Linked DNA regions of Canis lupus familiaris. Each later gene encodes a partner of the first gene's protein in a complex. Links are inferred from orthologs where the notes say so. Each region holds a gene or a part of one and is shown on either strand. Other genes may lie near its edges.

Region 1 (3,647 bases):
AGAGGTACCCTCTGAATCCCAGGCCTGCCCCCTGTCCCATCCCTCAGCCATGGGCTCACTTACTGCTCATCATAGGGAGAGTCTGAGACCTGTAGCACAGAGGCCTGGAAGTCCTGGATCACCTCCTGGGGACCCAGGGACACGGTGAGCAGTGAGGGCCTGGTGTCCCTCCTCAGCACCCCCAAGCCACCCCTGCAGGGCCTCTCTGTCCCTTCCCCTCTACTCATGGCAGGGGAGCAGGAGCTGGGAGGGATAGGGGTTGTTTCAGGGGACCGTCTCCTCACATTGCACATGTAGTTATGCCAGGACTTGGAAACCTGGGGGAGCTTCTCCTTCTTCTTCCAGTTTGGAGGGGCGCCCTCCCGTACAGGTTCCTGGGGGCACAAAGCCTATGAGCATCCTTCCCACTCCACTCCTGCCCAGCCCACCCTGACCACACCCATGCTCCTGCAGCTAACAGGCACTGAGTTCTTTGCTCTGCTGCCCACAAAAGGTGTTCCTCCTCCTTCTCTCTCAAAGGAGAGAGAATGGGGAGAGCCTGTCCCCATGTTTGCCACTCATGCAACAGGTACAGCTGATCTGAAAGGCCTAGGCTGGAGAAAGCTGAGGGCATGGGGGATACAGTGGGAGACGAGAACCTTAAAGAAGTAGCCTTTCCTGAGCCACATTCCATGTGGGAGTCCAGGGCGGACCCTTTCAGTGTCTCAACACTCACAGCTGCCGTATATGCTGTAATTCCACTTCACAGGGGAAGGAACTGAGGTTCGGAAAGCTTTGATCTGCTCTAGGTCACACAGCTCTTACATGGCAGAGGCAGACCTTGAACCTGGGTCTGCCGCACTGGCCCTCATACCTCCTGTTACCAGCTAGCTGTATGACCTTGGCCATGTCCTTCAGCCTGTCCAATCTCTGATGCTTTGATTATAACTTAAGGAACTGGACTCAGGGTCCTCTGGGGGCTCTGACACTCCTCTCTCTGATATCTAGTGGGTCAGTGGGTCAACTGTCATAGGGTAAGTGCCCCAGGCTCCCCAAAGACACCACCTTGGCAGCAATCATGTAAGGTGGAATGATGTCAATGGCCATTTCCTGGAAGAGCTCCCGGCACTGCATGGAGATGAAGTCCCCTGCTAGGGGCGACTTGACAATGCCTGGAAAGGGAGGGGGTGTCAGGGCCAGGTCCTCCCCAAGGAGTCCCCGACCCCTGTTGAGGCCCCACCTTGCTGTAGGACGTAGCCATCATGTACTGGGATGGCGGTGGTATGGGTGGCCCCACTGTCCAGCACTAGGCCCGTGGAACGTCCGTTTGCAAAGCTGGTGTGGGACGGGTAGGTCAAAGAGACAGCAGCAGCAAGTGAAGGGACTGGGACTCAGGTCTGCCCTGGTCACTCTCTGATCTCCTGGTCCAGTCCATTCACACTCTGCAAATCTCTCATTCTGGTTTATGACCCATCACAGGACAAAGGTTCCTGAGACTCCTGTCACTTCTTCCCTGTCTGAATCACAACTTTTCCCTCTTTTTCTTTCTTCTGAGCTCCCAGTTTCTCTTTAATCTTGGTTCAGTGTTCTGTGGGCTCCTTGAAATGAGGGGCCATATTGCCCCAGTGCCTAGCACAGGGGTCAACATAAGGTAGATCCTTAAAAAAATGAATGCTGATTGTTATATATTCTTCCTTGTTCTCTTCAGTTGCAGCCCCTGCTGTCTATGGTCCAACTCTCCCTCCTTTCCTCCCTCTTTGTCTCTCTCTCTGTTCAGTCTTATCCAAGGAATAGGAAAGAACTGCTGATCTGGCCACCCCAGGGTCAAAGGCATTTAGTGTACAGGGGCCCCTCTGCACTAATGGAGCACAGGGTGGGTGTCTGCCCATCCAGGACACTAATCTCCACAGAATCAGGTCCAGCCTCCAGCTTGACACACCACATAAACCCCACCCTGGCCCTCCACCCAGCCAGAGCAGCTCAAGCCAGAGGATACGCAGTAAGTACAGCTGTCTTGCATAAGAAGAAGGCAGGAATGTTGTATTGCTCGAACATCAGCTCTGTCAGCTTCTCCCGCTTGGCCCGTGTGTTCCACTGGGGAGAAAGTGCAGGAGGGGAGGATTCAAAAAAGGAGAGGCCCAGACACACACACACACACACACACACACACACATACACAGAAGACTTGGACTGGGGACAGAGGTCAGGTCTCTAGATCCACATATAACTCTAGAATGTGAGAAGTACAAAGAATTTTAAAGATTATAATCCAAACCCTGAAGTAAACCAAACTCAGAGAGGGAGAGTGACTTGACCAAGTTCACACACAAAGCCCTTGGTAGAGCTTGGTAGAGTTATAGTCTCTTGACTTCTGGCCCACTGTTCTTTACTGTATAATTCTATCAGCCTCCGGTTTATCCCTCTTCCCCATTTAAGTCATCTCAAAGGCATGAAAGCTGGGAAGAGGGTTTCTAGTAGAAATTGTGGATTGAATACAAACATCCAGTTTTATCCCCTTCCAAGATCCCAGGAAAAGTATAATAAAGGGGCAATTTAAAAAAGACATAAATCCATGGCACCTGGCTGGCTCAGTCAGTACAGCATGAAACTCCTAATCTTGGAGTTGTGAGTTTGAGCCCCATTTTGGGCATAGAGGTTACTCTAAAAAGGGGGGCACCAGGGTGGTGCAGTTGGTTAAGTGCCTGACTCTTGGTTTCGGCTCATGTTGTGATATCATGGTTGTGAGATCGAGCCCCTCATCAGGCTCTGCACTCAGCTCAGAGTCTGCTTGAGATTCTCTCTCCCTTCCCCTTTTCCTCCTCCTGCTCATGCTCTGTCTCTCTAAAATAAATAAATAAATAAATCTCTAAAAAAAAAACCAAAAGACCTAAAGCCACAAAAGCCAACCACCCACGAGAAGATGCTTAACATTGTTGGCCACCATGAGGGATATGCAATTTGAAATCACGAGATACCACTTCATACCCACTAGAGTATTAATAATAATTAAGAAAAAAATGGATATAGAGAAACTGAAACACTTGTACATTGCCATTGGGAAGGTGAAATGGTTCAGCCACTGTGGAAAACAATCAGCAGTTCCTCAAAAAGTTAAACATAGAATTACCATATGACCCAGCAATTCCACTCCTACTTATGTATCCAAAAGAACTGAAAACAGGTACTGAAATAAATCCATATACACAACTGTTCATAGCAGCACTATCCACAATAGCCACAGATGGAAACAACCCAGAAGTCCATGAATGGATTAATTGGAAAAACAAATTGTGGTGTGGTATATCCATGCAATGGAATGTTACTCACCATGAAACAGAATAAAATACTGATATATGCTACCGCATGGATGAACCTTGAAACTATTATGCTAAGTGAAAGAATACAGACATGAGAGGTCACATGTTGTATGATACCATTTATAAGAAAGATCCAGAATAGATACATTGATTGAGACAGAAAACAAATTGATGGTTGGTTGCCAAGGGCAAGGAGAGTAGGGAGAAACTGGTTAATGAAAACATATTTTCTTTTGGGCTGATGAAAATGTTGGGAGGTAGAAAAAGATGAGGGCTACACAACATTATGAATGTGTTTCATGGCATAGAACTGTTGACATCAAAAAAGTTAATTTTATGTTATGTGAATTT
Region 2 (3,747 bases), on another chromosome or scaffold:
CGGGAGAGGGGGTGGGTATTGTTTACACCCCCTTTCCTCCAGGGAAAGGGTTTGGGATGCAAAAAGGAGGAGCTAATTAAAAAATGACCACTCAACTCCCGTCTAGAAAAGGCAGGCAGGGATGTTGTGTGTATGCTAGCGCGTGCGCGCGCGCGCGTGTGTATGTGTGTGTGTGTGTGTGTGTGTGTGTGTGTGTGTGTCGACACAGAATTACAAAACATGTCATTGCAACTGTCTCTAATTATTACAAAGTATAAGTTTAATAATTCAGGACTAATTCCACTAAACCAGCCCCCTTCTCTGTTCCCTCCTCCACCTCTAACCCCACCCCACTCAGACACCCTCGCCAAACACGCACCCTTCCGCAGTTCAAAAACAAACAAACAAACAAAAAACCGGAGCCGGCAGGGAAACAAACCCTGGAGCGTTTAGAGATATTGCGCCTGCCGGCGCGTGAGCGGGCTCCAAGGTAACGCTGGTACCGCTTTCCCAGTAGGAAACAAATCTGGCGCACATGTGAAATAGATTTCTCTAACTTGAGTTTACCAGGTGGCATCAGCCTGCCTATGTGATTTCGGCTGGAAATGGGGAAACTGCAAATCAGCTGGAGGTTCGGCTGAAACTCACAGCATCAGCGGTGTGGCTGCGCGAGCGACCGGGGAGCGAGGATGCGGCGAAGTTACGCCCATTTATTCTGCTGTAAAACATTTTCTTTCTTGGCTGAAACGTTGTGGCGTTCCAGTGCAGTGTATCCGAGCTTGCGAGCGAGAACTAAAGCCGGGGGCTGTTCTGTGATCGGCGTCAGCTTCCAGCTTCCTCTTAATCGCAGCTTTAATCGCAGCTTTAATACATGTATATTAAAAAAAAAAAAAAAAACTCCGAACCGGGGACCTTACTACCTTTTCCCCTATTAATGATGGGAGATAAGCTGGTGCAAACACGTCCGATTACCCTCGCGCGTTCCTTTGCGCTAGGAAACACCCCCACACCCCCCGCAGCCTCCCTCCCTCCCCCGGTGCGAACGTGGTTTTCAACTCCAGGAGGAGCCTGGGGTGCCAGCGCGGTGCGCTGAGTTGAAATAACCCGCACGGGCATCGGCCACACAGCCAGGAGAATTTTGCACGAAACGCCCCCCACCTGCATCTCCCCCTCCCCTCGCCCGCGGCTCCCACCCCGGCTGGGAAGTCCTGGTCCCAGAGGCGCGGACCCCGAGCCACGCCGCGCGGCGACCGGGAGTCCCGACCCACGTCGCGCGGCGATGGGGGAGCGAGCTCTCCTCTGCCAATATCATTGCCAATAGCACCCCTTGTAGGGCGACGCTAGTTTTCCGAAGCCTCCAGCGGCTCCGCGATCGCGATCGGACTTGGCGGCTTAACATTTCCATCGACTGGAAGGAAGGAAGGAAGGAAGCCAGGACGAAAAGGAGCAGGAAGGCAGGCAGGCAGGAATTGGCAGTCGGACCCGGGGACTGGTCCCCGCATGTCCTCGCCCAGCCCGCCCCCCTGCGTCCGGGATCTGGGCGTCCGCTCAAAGTCTCCCGGCGGCGGCCAGAGGCACCTGCCCCTCGCTCTGGCCGGGAGCAGAAGCTGCCTCTCCGCCCGCCTCGGTTTTTCACCCAGAGGAGGCAAGAACACCATTCATAAGACCTGCAGCCTCCCTGCCTCCCAATCAACCCCAAGTTAACCCGAGTCGTTAATACACTACACCCAGTTCGCCCGCGAACACACGCAGACACACCGGCGACCGCCCGGAGCGCGGTCACGCTCGGGGGGCTGCCCCGGCAGGAAAGCCCCCGGGCAATCACCTGGGCCCCAGGGCTCCCGGGACCCACTGCTCCCCCTGCGGTCCTCCCAACTCCGGAAGGTTTGCACAAACTCCCCGCGAGCGATCGGAAGGCGTAAAGCGCCCTGCAAACTCCGGAGCTGCCACGGTCCGCTCGCCCCGGCGGACCCAGCAGCCGGGCAGGGGCTGCGGACTCCGGAGGCGCGGGGCGCAGCCAAGTGCACCCAGGCGGCCCCTGCCCGGCGCTCGCCCCCAGCTCGGCCGCCCCCCGCGCCGCGCTCGCCATCCCGCGACGCCGGGCACTCGGGGGACCGTGCAGTCCCCGAGCTGCCCACGACCGCCCGCCTCCCCCCCCCCCCCCCCCCCGTAGAGCGCTCGAGCGCCTGGCTCCCCTGCCGAAAACCCCTCTCCGTGCGTCTTCCAATTAAGCAGAACACAAACGTAACAATTTTCTTCTTGTTAATTGCATCTCTTGACATTTCTGCGCGTTGGGGGTAAAAAAAAAAAGAAGATGAAGAAGTAAGAGCTGAAAGAAAAGAGAAGCCCCGCCGCGGCTGCAGGCGCCTGCAAGCGCAGTGCATTGGCAGCGCTTGGCACGCGGAAGGCGCCTTTTTTTTCATATTGAAACCAGGCGGAATATGTACATTTTTTAGTCTTACTTACGCTTTCAGGGGGTTGTGAATGACAGTCGCCATTTTGCTACAATGTAACAGAATATTGTCTGTCTCAGAGTTCTAAAGGTTCGCTCAGGGGAAGCGGCGAGCCAATCAGAGCACGGGATACCGGCCCGCTGGCCAATGGGCGCTGCTGGTCGCCAGATGGGCGGGGCCTGCACGGTGGTAGTTATTAGGGGAGCTGTCAAAGCCCAGAGGTCACTCCCTTTTGTAGAGCCCGAGAGCAAGCAGGTCTTAAAGGGGCAGTACCGCGAGAGCAGCTCCTTTTCGGATTTGGGAAAGTGGAGACGCACGGGGAAAGTATTCTAGTTTGGTTTGAGTCCCTACTTTCTAAATAATTGCAGAGAGTTTGCGCTCCTGGACAGAAATATTTAAGTATTGCCAACAAACCACTGAACCCCATTCATTAGCTTTTGGCTTTGCTGTTACGTTTTTAATCCCCCAAAGGGCAAATCCCCTCGTTCCCGTGCAAAAGTTGGAAGGCTGCCGTTTCGTCTAACAAATTACTACACGTGCCCAGCAGTTTGCTAATGCTCTAGGTCCAAGGCTTTTTAACATTCTCATTCCTGTAGTGTTTTCTTTATCTCGGCCACCTTCTCTCTCTCTCTCTCTCTCTCTCTCTCTCTCTCTCTCTCTCTCTCGGTTTCTTGGAACTGCTGCCGCCGTTCCCGGCGACTCCAGGACAGCAACTCCCCTCCCCCTGGAATGTCTCAATGTCAGGCTCGCTCCCTCCGGCAGCCAGGGCTTTCGTTACGTAATGCGCGGTGGTCGCTGTGCGCGGTTCCCCACTCCGACCTCTTCCAATCTACACACACACCAGAAACTTCTGAAATGGTCAGATTCCGGCCGGCCGGGGAGCCAAGTGGGACCTGGCGCTCTGACCTTTAGGCTTGGGGACAGAGGAGGTTTAAGGAAACTTTTTGGAAACGCTTTCTGCTACTAGGAAAGAGAGTAACTAGACAGAAGGTGTTGCCAGAGTCTCTTTCGGGGAGTAGCACACGCGATTCTGGCGTCACCTTTCACTACTTAGGTACACGGTGGAAAAATTTGCCACTGAATAATCCGGTAGGACCCGAGGCGTTCAGAGTCTGTGTCTGCTCCAAGTCAGCGTGAACTCCTCACTGGCGAACCCCCGACGAAATTGGGAGACTTCGGTGAAGCCAGGCTTCCACGGGGCAGCGGGGAATCTCCCGGTGGATGAAATCGCACTAAATCATGAATAGGGGCCTCGTTAGCATACAGAAATCTGGCTAACATCCCAAAGTTGTTTAATCAGGTCAAATAGCTAAAA

Evidence for each region. The genes of interacting proteins can lie anywhere in the genome.
Region 2: ACTL6B (region 1) and DPF3 share a complex: the UniProt entries of both Homo sapiens proteins name them as parts of the BAF complex. The link is inferred for Canis lupus familiaris from reciprocal best matches to the Homo sapiens genes ACTL6B and DPF3.

What each region holds. Positions count from the first base shown.
Region 1 is NC_049227.1:8,998,090-9,001,736, reverse strand, and holds part of ACTL6B (actin-like protein 6B), read right to left. Parts: intron 2,074-3,647; coding exon 1,976-2,073; intron 1,315-1,975; coding exon 1,220-1,314; intron 1,152-1,219; coding exon 1,045-1,151; intron 375-1,044; coding exon 285-374; intron 126-284; coding exon 64-125; intron 1-63. UniProt on the Homo sapiens protein: Involved in transcriptional activation and repression of select genes by chromatin remodeling (alteration of DNA-nucleosome topology).
Region 2 is NC_049229.1:46,575,606-46,579,352, forward strand, and holds the start of DPF3 (zinc finger protein DPF3), read right to left. Parts: upstream 2,511-3,747; 5' UTR 2,478-2,510; coding exon 2,446-2,477; intron 1-2,445. UniProt on the Homo sapiens protein: Belongs to the neuron-specific chromatin remodeling complex (nBAF complex).